Linked DNA regions of Xenopus tropicalis. The protein of the gene in region 1 purifies or fractionates together with the protein of each later gene. This does not show direct contact. Links are inferred from orthologs where the notes say so. Each region holds a gene or a part of one and is shown in the gene's direction. Other genes may lie near its edges.

Region 1 (4,172 bases):
CAAGGGGCCTGTACGTTTGTATAACTTTATAAAGCGCTACAGGAATGTGGAGAGATGTACATGTATGGGATCTGTTATCCAGAATGCTCGGGACCTTGGGTCTTCCGGATAAGGGATCTTTCCGTAGTTTGGATCTCCATGCTTTACGTTTACTAAAATGTCATTTAAACATGAAATAAATCCATTAGGATTGTTTTCCATCCAAAAGGATTAATTATATCTTAGTTGGGATCAAGTACAGGTACTGTTTTATTATTACAGAGAAAAGGGAATCATTTAACCATTAAATAAACCCAATAGGGCTGTTCTGCCCCCAATAAGGGGTAATTATATCTTAGTTGGGATCAAGTACAGGTACTGTTTTATTATTACAGAGAAAAGGGAATCATTTCTAAAAATTAGAATCATTTGTTTAAAATGGAATCTATGGGAGATGGCCTTTCCGTAATTCGGAACTTTCTGGATAACAGGTTTCCAGAAAATGGATCCAATACCTGTACAATCATATAACAGTACACACGGGGAAGGCACATATTATAAAAAACATAACAAATAAGTATATATACACAGAGATTAAGCACCATTTGGTATGAGGCACAGTAGGAAAGCCTGTAGAGCTTACAATCTAAGCTTGTAAAGGGTAGTATTTTTTTTTTTTTGCTTTATTCAGCTATTTCACACAATACAGTAGGCACCACGCAGGGCTTTTCTATACTCTATATCTGCCGAGCTGACAACAGGTGCACGAAAAGGTTGCTATGGCATCTGCTTCGTTAGCAACACGCTTGGTGTCGGTATCTTTTTGTTAGAAATGGCATAAAACGTCATTTCCCATCATATAATTTCTGCCCCCGGAACAACCAAACTGTAGATGTGATATACATAAATACGCTTACGACTTGAGATACACCCCTAAACGATATAATATCAGTTTGTATTAGTCCAAAGCGGATGAAGATGAAAAGCCCCACTACTTCCCTAAGCCTCTCTCCCATCTCCCCCGCAGGCCCTTCCCTTGTCACTACACAACAAGCCCGTAGCCGCCACAGCAGCCCAGTCACACAAACACAAACTCGCCCAGCTTCCCGTCTATACACGTGTCTCCAGCCCACTTCCGGGAAGCCGCTACCTGTGTAGACTACAAATCCCATCAGCGGCCTGGAACGTCGCGCCTGCGCAGTAAAGCTTGTTTGCTCCCAAGGCTATAAGGGAGTTGTAGTCAATTTCCGTGTTTAGGCGCATAAGCTGGCAGAGCGCTTCCGGCCCTAGTGAACTCCATTTCCCAGCATGCAGCGGGCCGGCTCTCTGAGAGGCTAGAGCTCTGGCTAATGATCCCTAGCAGTGTGGAGTCACGTGTGGCTTCCGTTGGTGTGTTTTCCTGGGCACAGAGAGGGTCTCTTCCCCCCCTCTCTCCCTCCCTTAATTCGGATTTTATTTTTTTTTTCTTTTTGCCCATAGTGTTTGTTTTCAGGCCCGAGCAGCCTCTCCCCTCCTTCCCATCACTATAGGAAAGCATGAGCGATAACGATGACATCGAGGTGGAAAGCGACGTGAGTGCGGGTTCCGCTTCCCTTTAACTTGGCTTTATATGGGGTGGGGGCGGGGGTGGCTGTGTTGTCCCTTGGAGAGGGGGCAACTGTCTGTTTAGCAGGGATCACCGCTTTTGGTTCTAGCTGTAACAGGAACAGTGTTTCCTATTCTGTGTGTGCCTAGGTCCTGCTGCACTACAAATCCCAGCATCCTCAGCAATACGGAGAAGGTTTTCGGGTAGGGCAGAGAGAGGGCATTTGTCCTGGGCTTCCAGTATCTCAGGGCATCTTGTTTTATTTGTTAGGACTCTGTATCCCTCCTGCACTGTATGTAGTATAACTTGTAGCATCCACCGGCCCTCCAGCTGCTCTGCAATCCTTAGCATCTCCCCTGGCAGGGATGGGAGGGCTGCAGCCCAACAGCTGGAGGGTCCTTAAATCAATATCCCCATTATGATATTATTATATACTAGGACCCCAGCATTCCTTCAGTGCCCAGGGTACCTTCATCAGTCTGGGGTTTATTGTTATTTATATAGCACTGAAGTATCCCATCATTCATATCAGCCTGGCACCAGTGGAGCTTACTATCTAAGGTCCCTATCACATTCACCAACACATAGGGGCCGATACATTAAATTACAAATTAAGAGTATAATTGGCGACAATTCGCATTAAATACAAAAATTTCTAATGTGCGTTAATTTTGCGAAGAGTCGCGTTGTACTTGTGCGAAAATATCGTGGTACGATGCAAAAGTTACGAAATTTTCGTATCCGTACGATCGTAAACGGCTCAAAAACCTTTCTGACTTTGACCCTTCAGTGGAGGATTTTGGAAGTCTCCCATAGGACTCAATGGCACTCTGCAGCTCCAACCTGGCCCAAGGAAAGTCTCCCATAGGGCTCAATGGCACTCTGCAGCTCCAACCCGGCCCAAGGAAAGTCTCCCATAGGGCTCAATGGCACTCTGCAGCTCCAACCTGGCCCAAGGAAAGTCTCCCATAGGGCTCAATGGCACTCTGCAGCTCCAACCCGGCCCAAGGCAAGTCTCCCATAGGGCTCAATGGCACCCTGCAGCTCCAACCTGGCCCAAGGAAAGTCTCCCATAGGCCTCAGTGGCACTCTGCAGCTCCAACCCGGCCCAAGGAAAGTCTCCCATAGGGCTCAATGGCACTCTGCAGCTCCAACCTGGCCCAAGGAAAGTCTCCCATAGGGCTCAATGGCACTCTGCAGCTCCAACCCGGCCCAAGGAAAGTCTCCCATAGGGCTCAATGGCACTCTGCAGCTCCAACCTGGCCCAAGGAAAGTCTCCCATAGGGCTCAATGGCACTCTGCAGCTCCAACCCGACCCAAGGAAAGTCTCCCATAGGGCTCAATGGCACTCTGCAGCTCCAACCTGGCCCAAGGAAAGTCACGATATTGAAGCTTGAATGAATAATGAAACTTTTGTACTCGTTGCGACAAATACGATTTTGTCGTGCAAATTGTTGGAAAGTACGAAAAAGTTGCGAAAAAAACGCACAGTTCTAAAACAATTTTTTTTGTATTCACACTCAATTGTACTTTGATGAATGTGCCCCTTAGTGTAAACATCGCATACACACCAGGCAGCCCCAGTAGATGTGTAATGATACCTGCTCTGTATGGTGGGCATGGGACTCTGGGACTAGTGCCTTTATTACTGACCTGTTTTCTATGTTGTTGGTACCTATCCAACAATAACTGCAGGGTGGTAAGATAGACACCTCGGTGAAGGGCAACAAACGTGTATGCATACCCTATTATTTTGGAAGGGTAACAGCCAGAGGTTATACTATGAACAGGTGTCTGTATATATTTCTGTTGGCCAGACTCATGGGGGGGGCGGGCGGAGCTTCATCATTTCTCCACTGGTTGTTTGGTGTCCCAGTGAGACAGGCTTGCTTGTTTGTTGTCCATTTTTTTCTATATTACCCTTGATATTAAATATTTTGGAGAGGATCAGATTGTAGGAAATGGTGATGTTAGGCATAGTTGTTCATATTACATAGTTACATAGGGTTGAAAAAAGACCATTGTCCATCAAGTTCAACCCTTCCAAGTAAACCCAGCACACACAACCTATACTTACCAATCTATACACTCACATACATAAACTATAGATACAATCATTAATACTAACTGTAGATATTAGTGTCACAATAGTGTTTGATACTATGCTTGTTCAAGAACTCATCCAGGCCCCTCTTATAGGCATTAACAGAATCTGCCATTACAACATCACTAGGAAGGGCATTCCCCAACCTCACTGCCCTCACTGTGAAAAACCCCCTACGCTGCTTCAAATGGAAGCTCCGTTCCTCTAATCTAAAGCGGGGGCCTCTGGTGCGTTGATTGTTTTTATGGGAAAAAAAGAACATCCCCTATCTGCCTATAATCCCCTCTAATGTACTTGTACAGAGTAATCATGTCCCCTTTAAGAAGGACCACATCCAGGCAGTAGGCTGTCCTGGAATACTAGTAGTGTTCATGGCTTTGTACTATTAGGGCTCTGGCACACGGGGAGATTAGTCGCCCGTGACAAATCTCCCTGTTCATGGGCGACTAATCTCCCTGAAATGCCATCCCACTGGCAAAAATGTAAATCGCCGGTGGGATGGCA
Region 2 (4,278 bases), on another chromosome or scaffold:
TTGCCGAAAATATCAGCCCTACGCCTCGTGTGGCATCAGCCTAAGAGATCACACACAGACAGCTGTTAAAACTCTGTAGTCTGAAGCCTAATTGTATGAAACATCTAAGTGTGAGGGCAGCATGATTTCTTGCCTTAATAAAAATGCTTAGTTACCAGGGAAAAGCAATGTATAGCCCACTAGTTTCCATGGGATGCTTTTAATACCTGGAGAGTCATGTTGTTCTCCCCAAGAGCGTAATATTTTTATGATTATTATCCTTTATATGGTGCTGCCATATTTTGTAGTGCTTCACAGAGATTATACATCATCAGTTTCGGACTGGCCACAGGATACCAGGAAAACTCCCAGTGGGCCCAGGTGTCAGTCGGCCCTCCTACTCCTGACCATTCGGCTTGCTGCATGGTCATTCCCTATTTCTGAATGGGAACAAAGAGGAGAAATAGATGGAAGAATAGATGTTAGCATGTAAATAAAAGAGACTAGGAGAATAAAGAGGTTGGGTGAGGAAAGGAGGAAAAATAGTTTGGAGAGTGGGCCCCTGGGGGTCCGACACTGTACATCATTCCCTTCTGGGGTTGCCACCTGGCAGGGAAAAATGATGCTTGATCCCAATGTTATTCATAGGGCAGAAAGAAAAAACTATAGAAAGGCCAGTATTTTTTATTTTTTACAAAAGGATGCAGCCTTATTGCCATCAGTCCCTGTTCAAGTGGAGCTTACATTCTAGGTCCCTATAACAGGCTTACTATGGTTGAGTTTATCTGAAGCCAATTAACTTGCCTGCATTTGGAGACTGGAATACCCACAAATTCCTTGCAGACAGTCTCCTACCTGGAATTGAATCCAACTGTTTTTTTTCTGCCATAAATATGTAGGATTTAGTGGGAAATCTAGATTGAGGTGACTGTTCCCTATTTAATAAGGTGGCCATACATGTTAAGATCTTATCCCGATATGCCCACCCAAGGTGGGTGATATTGGGCGGATTACAATGACGCACATAGGCACCATCAGAGCGAAAACCACAATAGTGAGCAGATGCGGTACCCAATCCAACAGGAAAATCAAACCTGCCTGATCGGCACCTGGCCACTTTTCAGCCAGATATTGGGGGGGGGGACCCCATACATGGGTAGATAAGCTGTCAAATTAGTCTAAAGGACTTAAATCTGCAGCTTAAATCTGCCAGTGTATGGCCACCTTTAAGGTGTCTCCATGTCACAACGCAAAATCACAAGTTCCACAGAAATCAATAGCTGTTCTTATGGCACTGGCAGCCTTTTGGCTGCTTAGTCAGTCCGTCCCCTTCAGGTTCCTGCGCAGCAGAGCAGGGTGTGATTCCTGCTAGTGAGCAGAAAGCAAAAGCCCCACATCCTCCTCCTCCTCCTCCTCCCTGTGAGTCACACGCCAGGGCCAGTGCGTCCGCACTCCGGCTTTTCCCTCTGCCCGAGAGTAGCTGAGGGCTCTGTGAGTCCCTTTTTTCTTGTTGTGTTTCTGTTACTCATCGCCATCTTGTTGCAACCCTTTTCTTGTCTGGAGGATCCGTGGGGGGGAACCTGGGTTGGATTTTTTTTCCATTGCATTTCATTTATTCAGTCATATTTCCCCCGACACAGGGAGGGTGAGGAGATCCGCGCAGCCATCCTCCGCTTCTGGATCTTTTTATTTTGACGGACTGGGGGGAGATACAATTAAAGCGGAAGATTTTAGGGGATCACTGTGGAAGCTGCTGAGAAATGAGCCTGGAGACACTGTTGCAAGCAGCCCTGTTCCTGGAATGGCAATCCCAGCAGCAACAGCAGAGAACACGTGGTAAGGAAGCTTTTTGGGGGCCCTGGGGCAAAATGATGGGCTGTAGCCGGGCTGGCAGGGGAGATCGGTACAAGGTGGGAGCATTTTATGATCATGGAAGTGTTCTTTAAGAAGCATCATTATGGTTTATCCGTCACACTCCAGCTGCTGCTAAACTACACCTCCCATCATCCTCCAGTAGACTCCTACTGCTAGAAGATGCTTAGGGGTTGTATTCGGCAGTATCTGGGGTGTCACTGTGCATTTTGAGATACTATTGGTGCTGAGTGTGTAAGCTGTTCAGTTTGAGGGACTAAAACATGACTGCGCGTTATTGCCCAGGATTATGCAGCGTTAACGCTCGGTATGTGAGCTGTTTCACAAAATCTCTGTGGCTGACCGGCTTGGGGAATAAATTTCCCCCTTTGGGTCTGAGTCTTAGCTTGTCCAGTATCAGGGCGGTGGCAATCCTCCAGCAGCAGCCTTTGCTAATACCCTGACATGGCCTGTCATATGACTTCCCGCAGCGCCGCCCCTTAACCTCTTCAGCGCCAGCAGCGCTCACACTTCAGGAGCTTCTCGCGTATTCTTGCGTCCAGATTACATGTTACCGCTATTATTCTTTTTGTGTGGGCTATACTAATACGAATTGGTGATTTCCCTGCTGGTTCTATTGCCTGGGAGTGGGGCTTCGGTTTTAGAAGGCTGGCAGCCCTCGGGTTACTGTGTGAAGGTGACGTGTCAGGCGCCGCCCCTCCCCCCACGTGCAGTGAGGACACTCCCGCATAGAGAGAGGGGGGGGGCTGAGCGGGACAGAGAGGCAGACAGGGCGGCGGGGGGAGTGGCGAGGAGGGACTGCACGCACATAGCATGACCCATGGCGTTCACACCCTGCTGGGAAGAGGAAAAAACAATCTCATAGGCGGGGGAGCCGCAGGTTACAGATGTACGTACCTCTCGGCGCACCTCCTGCCCCCGCCATAGCGCTGCAAATACTCCCACCCCGGGGAGGCTGCGCTTCTAAGCACTAACCCTTCACTTTGCCTTTAATGTCACGTTAATAATGGCCTGGTTATTCTCTGTGGCCTTTAGTAATATGCAGTTATTCTCTGAGTAAGGAGGTGGGCATTTTGGCAGAGCCGCCCATTTTAGGACAGAGTCTAGTGGTTTGTGTGTGAGGTGCCTATGGCATCTGTAGTTTGCCCATGCCCAAATAACACCATTACATTGCAGGCTAGAGCATTGGCTAATGGCTAGGCACTAGGGAGGAAAGGCTTGATATAATGTGTAACATATCCTTTCCATGGGGTTTCTGATTCCCAGCATAGAGTCTGTACTGACACCTGGAGAGAGCAGCTGCACCTGTAGAGGGAGGCCATGGGGCGGCTAGCGCAGCTACACACCAAGCTTTGTATTTCCCACATGGGGGCTGGTTTGTTTTCTACCTACATTCTTTATAGTGCATTCATTTGCCTGTGATGTGCAGCGTTACGTTCATTTACACCCTGCAGTGCTGACTGGAGCACAAGCTGCTAATTCTCTGTCTGGCCTTTGTGCCTTTTCAGCTATGCCTGGGAGAATATGGCTATTTGTTATTCCAGGGGCAGCAGCAATGAGTATTTTACTTTAATGACACCATCCTCCTTTATTCAGTGCTACACAGAATATTGTAGGTTACATATATTTGAAAGATAAACAAATACACAACACTAAAACTGTGGCATACTGCATACATGTGATTATTGTCTCACATTGTACTACTGGTTATCACACTAAAGCTGGCTGGGGAAAATACCAGGAAGTTTCAACTTGCTAATGTCACTTTTGGCTCCGCCCCTTTGTCATCTGTAATATATTAATATACATGGCATGATCCCTATGCCCCTGTAAAAGTGTCTATTGATTACCATTGATCGAAAAGGCAGTAATGGACAAATTAAAAATGAAAGTGCAAGGAGTTGTAGCAGTGCAAGCAATCAGGATACCCATGATAATAATTAGAATCACCAGGAGGTGCCAAACATATTGACTCTCCCACTGTCATTTTACCTTAACATTTTACTCCTTGTTGGGGTCAGTATGTACCAGATTTTCCCCATTGTTCTGCTCTGATTTTGGCTCATATATGTTCACTCTGGGTTGGGCAGGTTACTTGTATAATGCCTCAATTTTGAAATAGTGCCTTTCTATAAAATAGGTTTTCTGTTTATAATTAATCTAATTGGTCTAATAATGTATTTTAGCAAGGGTTTACTTAAGGTAACTTCAAGGGCAACAATTCCTAAAATGGTTTCCTTTATTGCAGCTGAGGGCTGCACTCCAGATGGGGAAAACTGTACTATAAGTTCAAAGGTGCACCTCCCCACCAAGTATTTTGGTGGCCCACATGGGGTGCCTACTCAAAGGGCAGATGGCCAACCTGGGGCACACAGGACAAGTGTACCAGGGCACTTGGTTAATTTACACATACGCATGAGATGGAAT
Region 3 (4,266 bases), on another chromosome or scaffold:
GCAAGCGCATCCCTCTGTGCCGGATAGTTCCATGAATGTCCCGCAATGCGGGACATTCATGGAACTATCCGGGACAGCGGGATGCGCCATAAAAAGCGGGACTGTCCCGCGAAAAGCGGGACAGTTGGGGGGTATGCTATATTAGAAACATTTTTGATTTACCCAGTTTTACTTTTACACAGAACTGTTCCTTTAAGGTCCCTAAAATCTGGCCAGAGCAGAGCCTTGTATGCAAAGTTAAGGTGGAATTACTAGTTAAGATGACGCCACAAATTTCTCATTCCAAACTTCCACCCTCACATTACTGATACGCCCCAAACTGTGTAGTCACATGGCTGATAGTGAGTGCTTGCACACCACAGACCCAGGATATTTATGGTATAGAAGACATAATGAAGATTCTGTGAATAACATGATGAGGACCCAGCTGAAAATTTTGTTGCATGCATGGAAAAATATTTACCTATAATGCAATGTTTTTAGTTCAAATTGCCATAATCCCTTCTTTGTGGCTGCAAAAAAAAAAGCATAATTATGGGTAACAGCTTCTGTAATAAACTAGGAAAACCCCTGCCAGCACTGGTCCCTTTAAAGGAACAGTAACACCAAAATATGAAAGTGTATAAAAGTAACTAAAATATAATGTGCTGCTGCCCTGCACTGGTAAAAGTTGTGTGTTTGCTTCAGAAAGTCTACTATAATTTATATAAATAAGCTGCTGTGTAGCCCTGGGGGCAGCCATTCAAGCTGGAAAAAAGGAGAAAAGGCACAGGTTACATAACAGATAACAGATAAAACACTTTTGTATTCTACAGAACTTATCTGTTATCTGCTATGTAACCTGTGCCTTTTCTCCTTTTCTCCAGCTTGAATGGCTGCCCCCGTGGCTACACAGCAGCTTATTATATAAATTATAGTAGTGTTACTGTAGCAAACGCCCCAGTTTTACCAGTGAAGGGCAACAGTGCATTATATTTTTATTACTTTAAAGCTCTTTCATTTTTTAGTGTTACTGTTCCTTTAAGAGCCCCAGAACCTTCTGCTACTGAACTTATCGGTGCACATTATTTAGCACTAAAGAAACTTATTACTTTTGGTCAATTTTACCCTAAATTAATTCTGCACAAAAATATATAAACGTGCAAAAGCTGGAAAATGATCAACTTCACCCTGACCTTAGTTTGCACCAATTTGTTTTTTTCCTTTTTTTGATCAAATGGGGAGAAAGCACTCTGATGGCAGAGAGACTATTAGCAACCAGGATAAAGTCATTTTTAAGTTCCCGAGCACAAGTCAAAGCTTAGAAATGATAAATGACTTCTGAGGAAATATTGGGAGCTGAGGTGGAGGAGAGCACGGCGGGTAACTAACAAAAAGAATGAAGTAATTACAAAAGCAGGAAGTGCAAGCAGATGAAAAACACATTGCGGGCAACTAGCCGCTTCTATTTATGCTACGCGGTGCGTCATTACGCTTGCGTGCAGTTGTGACGCCGAATATCGCGAGATTTGTGGAGTCGGGATTTTGTGAGAGATTGTGGGATGAGGCTTGTAGTGAGCAGCTGCAGGAGTAAGTAGCGAACTGGGACTGTGAGTTGTGTCAGGGAAAGCGGACTGTTGGGCACTCGCATTAACTGGGATTAGAGGGTGTAGTATGGGAAAAATAGATTTTCTTGTTTTTATACACATTAAAATAAGACATCATCTCCCTTATTCTTGTTAAATAGAGAGTAGCACTCGTATCTGCATGGCACAATGTTATACTTTGTCAGCCATAGATTTAAACAAGAAATTGTTGGGTAGGTGTAACCTTTTATTGGCTAATGTAATAGATTATAAAATACATTTTCTAACCTACTAAATTAACCAATCAACCTTATATGTTCTACTTAGCAGAGCGTCAGCCAATGGGAAATGAGTAGGCTTGACTGTCACTGAGAGCATTTTTTGTTCTAGTACAATAAAACATGATTAATTGGGATATCTGGATTATAGAATTTGTATGACATTTGGTGTTTGTGGTAAATGATATCATTTGTTTTGCTGAGAGTGATGGTGATTGCCATTAACTGTTCACAGATTGGCTCATCCCGGCACCTTGAGGATCTTTCAATGGAAGGCGATTCAGAAGATGTTTATGATCTTTTCAGTGGCTATGACAGTTACAGAGAATATAGCAGTGGACTTAGTGATATCAGTTCTGGTCTTGGGGATTCAAGTTTAGATGAAGAGGAAAATGAAGGGTCTTCATCACTGCAGCAATCATCTTCTAGCGCTAACAAGGCCAATGAGGAGAATAGTGCTGAACCAGGTACATACATTTGATTATGAAAGATTACACTGCAGTTTTGGAAGGTCTTTATAATGGCCTTATAGCAAAAAATATGTCAGCATTTTGTTTTTTGATCAACAATAAAAAGCCTTCCATTAAATATATTTAAGTACCAAACAACTAGGTCATTTTGACTAGGCCACTACTAGTTGTTGGCTTATGATCTCTTTCATTGAGTAGTCTGTACCAAAGGAATGCCAATTTTTCCAATTTTCGCTAAAAAATGAAAGTGTACTAAATTATTATGTAATATTGCCCTGCACCAATTTTACCTTTAAACTGCGAGATAGTGTGTGTGCACACATTCTGAGCCAACACACACAACAAATTGTAACAGGTCTGGTCTGGGAGTTGAAATAGGCGCTGACATTTCAACTACTCAGAAGCCCAAACAGCTCCCCCACCAGCTCAATAAATAGTGACTGTCTATGGCATCTTACATTAGCCCCTCTGGCGATTGCCATTTCAGGCCTGCCATGCACACAAAGAATTTATTCTGACCTGAGCACTGCACTGCATGTTTAAATAAGTGCATATAAGTTTAAAATGTACCCACAAAATAATGTTTTTGTGCACATAGCCAAAAAGGAAATAGTGAACATTGCCCTGCACCGGAAAGGTCGTGTGTTTGCTTCAGAAACATTACTATAGTTTATATGAACTAAGCTGCTGTGTAGCCATGGTGGTAGCTGTTCAAATTGAAAAAGGGATAAATGGTGCAGATTACATAACAGATAACAGATAAGCTCAGTAAAACACTGTTGTACTCTACAGAGCTCATTTGTTATTTGCTATGTAACCTGTGCCCTTTCTCCTTTTCTACAGTCTGAATGGCTGCCCCCATGGCTACAGAACATCTTTGTTTATATAAACTATAAGTGTTTCTGAAACACAGCTGAAACACACAACTGTTACCAGTGCAGTAGTACATAATATCTTAATTATTCTGGTACAATTTCATTTTTGGTGTTACTGTCCCAGTTCTCCAAGACAGAAAGAGCAAAAGGCGTTTTGTTTTATCATGGTTCTTACTGAAAGGAAATTGACTACTGAAGAGATCCCTACCCTAAAGCTGGCCACACACGTGGCGATTTTTGATCTTTCGTGCGACCATCGGTCACACAAAAGATTGTTCCAACCCTCCACTGACGTTCAGGGATGAATTGTCAGATATGGAGGTAGAAACAATAGGATTTCTACCTCCTTCTGCCGATTCAGCCCTGAACATAGATTTTGCTCGGGTGCCTTCAGTGGCACCCAATCAAAATCCTCTAACCCATCCAATCGGCGAGTTGAACGATATCAGCAGCCTCCTGCGATATCAGTCGCCTCGCTGACTTGCCATGCACCGAACGATATTATCGGTGCGTGTATAGCCACCTCCTGTCTCAGCCTCAAAAGAATCACAGAGCCCGTGGATGCCAGACATCGGCTGCTAACCTACTTCAACATGAAAGCAGGGTACCATTGTATTTAATTTGAATGTTATTAGGGTTGTGGTGGGGGGTAGGGCATTTTAAAGACATTGTTGCTTTGTTATTAAAGCTTTGCATGTTTTAAAGTGATGGCTGTTTTATATAACTGTGCTTGCCTTAAGGATTCTGGTTACAATGAAGTTCACACATATATTTGTATTGCTAGGAAACTGTAGGAGCTGGGTGTGTTCCTTAAAGAAATTGTTTATAACATTTAAAAAAAATCCTTGGTCTGATTATGTATGAATTAGAGCCAGCAATTACTAAGGAGTCACATTTGCAGGTTTGAGATCAGTCCATGATAGTTGCTGTGTGTATTACAGTGTGCCCACTGTGACTGCGCACTGTGCACCATTGCACTGTCAGCTTGGATCAGCATACATATGCTCTATTTACAGGCTGAGGGATACTATTGTAACTGAAGGGATCAGACAGTGAGTCTGGCTGTGAATGAGCCTTG
Region 4 (4,139 bases), on another chromosome or scaffold:
CTGAAGACAGCGGTGCACAGATGCCCTCACAATTTGACAGATCTGGAAAATGTTAGCAAAGAGGAGTCGGCAAACCTTGCAAAGTCTCAATGTGCCAAACAGATGGACCCAAAAAGACTGAGTGCTGTTAATAAAATCAAAAGGTGCTTCAACCAAGTTATTAGTTTAGGGGGTGCGCACTAATGCAACCAGGTTTTGTATGATTTGTTTCACTAAACTGTTGATTTGTTTTCAACTTCTTTGTACAGATCACAATTTTGTAAAAAAAGGTGGAATAAGTTCTTACAGATTTTATCTTGGTTTCTTTTTTTTTTTTAATTAACACAAACATGTGTTATGTATGTATACAGCGATGAATAGAAGAAAAATAATTTAATTAAAACAAACAAGGGGGTCATTACAATAATAGGTCAATAAATACAAAGTACGATTAATACTAATAAAGTACAGCTGTAGTAAATATGTCACAGAGCTAAGTAACAAAGAGACAAGAGTATGGAGATTCCTGTTCTGTACAGCTTACAATCTATGGCTAAGAAAACTTACAATATATTACAGTCAGTTGCAGAGACAAAGCAGTGCAGCGCTATATATTCTATTCCACATATAAGGTGCAGGGCAGACAATATGAAAGAACACAAAATAATAATCTGTCAATATTGTTATGCCTCTTTCCATATGTTTTCTGGGCTATTAAAAACCTAGACCTTTTCCGCTCGCTCTGCACCATCCGACAAACGTTTCCTATTCCGCGATTCAAGCACCGCACAGCATTCTGGGTTCCATAGTTTTCATCTATGTAAGTATTAAAAAGCAGTGCATTGTGGGCGATATCTTTTGTGTCGTACCTGCAATGCATTTTGGACGTTGTAGTTTTTTAAAAAAATTCTATATTGATTTGAGGTATGTCGTTACTGTGCACATTCAGCCCCTCCATATTCCTATAATTTCGCTCTTGTCGTCCAAAATCATTACGCGCACCTGTCACATAAACATATTTGGGATGCGCGCTGTAGCCGCGGTCTCTCACAACCTCCCGCCCAACAGAGCCCTACTACTTATGAAACAAATACAGCGGTCATTGAATCTGATAAGAGTTCTAAGTCAGCTTGAGGGCCGCGAGTAACACTACAAAATTAACATTAGACTCTACAAGCCTTAGTAAGGAAGGAGAGAACAAACAGCACCAGAGCCAAATGGGACGTGCCCTTCAAGGGGGCGGGTGGCTAAGCCCCCATGACGGAGCGCTGTCTCTATATGGCAAGAAGGCGGGGTCGAGTTTAAATGAGTTCCCCTCCCCTCTAAGGTTTTCTATGGTACACACCCACCCTCTTTTCTGTAGGGGGCTGGACTAGAACTAGGAGTCTTGGAAAAAAACGGGGGGGGTGTATCTATCCTAGCATAGAGTCCCTGACTTGGTGTGGCCGTATATTTATTTCTGGAAGGTATGTGCCTCTTGTTTATCCTAAAGGGAGCCATTCTTTGTTTGGACTGGGGCGCTGGGGTTGTAGTAAGGCCAGTGGGACACATCGAAGTGCTTGCCTTTTCGCAGATGGGGTCAGGCGGCGAGTTACGAGTCCAGCCGTGCTGCACCTCGTATGTACAGGGTGTCCGGATACACATTCCCCCGTGGCACCGTTCTCCAACCTGCGCCTAAACAGCTGCTGTTGGACTGGAATCCCCAGAGCCACGCGAGAGTTTGCTGCCTAATAGCTGTGGGTGGCGAGATCCCTGCCCTAGGGGAATCGATGGTGGCCATGTGGCTACCTGTCCAAATATGCCTGCCAATATGCTCTCATCTGTATAGAGATGACCGCCAGGCCGGGAGATGGATAGATGGAGTAGGGCTGAGACTGGGACAAATGTTATGCACCCGAGCCAGCTGGGCTGTTACTGCCCAGTCAGTTGGCATGGGCAAAGGCTGGTTTGTCCTGTCTGAGAGGGAAGAATTAGGGATCCCTTATGTTCTTAAAATGACCTTAGGTTTTTTTGGGGGGTGGGGGGTTAACGCAGTTCGTGGTGCTGGGGTTTGGGGGACCTACAGCGATTGATGGAAGGCGGAGGTTCAACGCTGACGCTTAAATCATTTGTGCCTTTAAGTTTATTTCTCCCCGAATATCACACGAGACCAAATTTTGGGAAAATGTGAGCTCGGTTTTTGCATGAGATTAATAGGAGTATAGACATGGGGTTTGGGGGGTGGTGCTTCATTGCAGTTAGGTGACTGTATTGTCTGGGAGGCAGCAGAAAACACCCCTGAACAGCCGCGCTATGTGGAAGCGGCTCCTAAATAGCCTGCCTTACACTACACTGTTCCATGTCTTCTGGTCAATGTACTATTAAATTTAATTGCCTTCTGCACGCATAACGAAAACTAGCCGCTATCACTCACGCTAAAACCTCTACTCTCTCCCTTCCTAACGCGCTTAATAATTCTGAGATGGTACGTGCCTCAGCTTTATCCTTTTTGGCCCCGCCCTATCTAAACGCTATTGGCCCTCTCCAGTACCTAGGCATCCTGTATTTTCATTGGGCAGAGTGATTGCACCGCCCTTATTCGCTGGCACTAGGCATCGACTCCGTGTTCTCTTCCGTGTAAGGCGTGGCTTAACACTATTGGTAGGGCGTGCATATTGCTGGTCACTCCTGGTCATAGGAAGCGGAAGCTGATAGCAGGCAATGGTTGGCTAGTTGTGTTGTACCCGGAAGTGCTGTCCAATAAGCTTTACTTTATGGGCCGACGTTAGCCAAGGGGCGGAGCTGAGGACAATGAGGCTGCTCTTCTTATACTCCTCCCCAGAAATGTAGCCTTAAGTTTCATATACGTTTATCGTCTTATTTGTCTCCAAACATTTTTTGATTAATACAATGTGTGAAAACAGTATAGACACTGTGGTCGGAACCCTAATGGTAGCTTATCCTTGATTTAGAGGCAATTCTGCAATCTGACATCAAGTTTTGTGTGTGCTAAGTACGAGAGAGAAAGGTTTGCATCTTGGCTATGAAACATCACACTTTTGATTAGTCAGCACCAGGCAGCATTGCTTTATCATAGGCTATAGACATTTTACTACGTTTATTTTAGGAATATAACAACTCCAACTCATGAATGGCATACTGAAACATTATAAATGCTGCTGTGCCTTTCTATGGACCTAATGCCCTTGGGATGTCGCAATTATGATTAAAAATGTCATACTATAGTGTTAAAGAAAAAAAAAATTTGAAATGTCTGGTGGAAGATGTAAACCCTAATAATGTGAACTTGTATGTATATTTACACTGCACTGCTTGTGCATGCTGTGCTGTACAGTAGGACAACACAATAATAGAACAATTTAGACAGGTCCCCATCAGGTCACAACAAGGTTACAGATATAGAAAATCAGTGTATATTCTTATAAATAGTGGCATTAGTTATAATTGGTCATACACATTTTTAAGAAATACAATTTTTCTTTAAAAAAAAGTACATTTGAAATAACATTTACGTTTTATGACTATAGAAACACAACTTTAACCTGTTATATTGCGCCTTTTAAAAGGGTATGGAACTCCTGTTTTACAAAAGAGACTGCATTAATCCCTACATAAACTTGCTTCATGCACATCTATAATCTAATTATACATGACATCCATCAACATGCTGTGAGATTAGATCAGCTCATACAAACAAATTATGGAGTGCATAGAAAACATACATCAGAACTGTTTTATACCCAGTTCTTAATCAGTTTTTAAAAAGTGTCACATAACCCAGGAAATCAAGAGGCCATGTGCAAGAAATTGGTAGGGAATTCATAAAACAGATGTTAATTTCACTTTGTCGTGTACAAAAACGGCACTGTCAATATTGCATTTTTGCGTAACTCCCTTTCCCAGGAGGGTTTAGGCATTCCTTTATACTAAGTTGGTTAGGTTGTTAAGGTGGCCATACATCCATGGCCACCTCTGTATATATCTGCAAGTTTGGGCCAAATGATGACAGCAGAAAGAAGTAAAGAAAATCTGCAGATTCTCTTTTTACTTGACTAGTAAAAATGTTTCTGATGGATTGGTAATCCTCAACTCATCAGGATTATGTGCCTGAATGGCAACTAGCCATATAAATTTATTTGGTAGTGTGGTCGAAATCAGGC

What was found.
Region 2: the proteins of max (region 1) and mnt purify together in Homo sapiens (affinity purification with mass spectrometry; 7 studies listed by BioGRID and IntAct, with this or other methods). This does not show direct contact. The link is inferred for Xenopus tropicalis from reciprocal best matches to the Homo sapiens genes MAX and MNT.
Region 3: the proteins of max (region 1) and l3mbtl2 purify together in Homo sapiens (affinity purification with mass spectrometry; 6 studies listed by BioGRID and IntAct, with this or other methods). This does not show direct contact. The link is inferred for Xenopus tropicalis from reciprocal best matches to the Homo sapiens genes MAX and L3MBTL2.
Region 4: the proteins of max (region 1) and sin3a purify together in Homo sapiens (affinity purification with mass spectrometry; 3 studies listed by BioGRID and IntAct, with this or other methods). This does not show direct contact. The link is inferred for Xenopus tropicalis from reciprocal best matches to the Homo sapiens genes MAX and SIN3A.

The regions. Positions count from the first base shown.
Region 1 is NC_030684.2:119,935,303-119,939,474, forward strand, and holds the start of max (protein max), read left to right. Parts: upstream 1-1,372; 5' UTR 1,373-1,514; coding exon 1,515-1,550; intron 1,551-4,172. UniProt on the Homo sapiens protein: Transcription regulator. Forms a sequence-specific DNA-binding protein complex with MYC or MAD which recognizes the core sequence 5'-CAC[GA]TG-3'. The MYC:MAX complex is a transcriptional activator, whereas the MAD:MAX complex is a repressor.
Region 2 is NC_030678.2:47,696,934-47,701,211, reverse strand, and holds the start of mnt (max-binding protein MNT), read left to right. Parts: upstream 1-1,478; 5' UTR 1,479-1,739; coding exon 1,740-1,815; intron 1,816-4,278. UniProt on the Homo sapiens protein: Binds DNA as a heterodimer with MAX and represses transcription. Binds to the canonical E box sequence 5'-CACGTG-3' and, with higher affinity, to 5'-CACGCG-3'.
Region 3 is NC_030680.2:116,015,020-116,019,285, reverse strand, and holds the start of l3mbtl2 (lethal(3)malignant brain tumor-like protein 2), read left to right. Parts: upstream 1-1,466; 5' UTR 1,467-1,569; intron 1,570-1,571; exon of another isoform or gene 1,572-1,589; intron 1,590-1,608; exon of another isoform or gene 1,609-1,798; intron 1,799-2,078; 5' UTR 2,079-2,111; coding exon 2,112-2,310; intron 2,311-4,266. UniProt on the Homo sapiens protein: Putative Polycomb group (PcG) protein. PcG proteins maintain the transcriptionally repressive state of genes, probably via a modification of chromatin, rendering it heritably changed in its expressibility.
Region 4 is NC_030679.2:93,378,902-93,383,040, forward strand, and holds the start of sin3a (paired amphipathic helix protein Sin3a), read left to right. Parts: upstream 1-1,339; 5' UTR 1,340-1,445; intron 1,446-4,139. UniProt on the Homo sapiens protein: Acts as a transcriptional repressor. Corepressor for REST. Interacts with MXI1 to repress MYC responsive genes and antagonize MYC oncogenic activities. Also interacts with MXD1-MAX heterodimers to repress transcription by tethering SIN3A to DNA.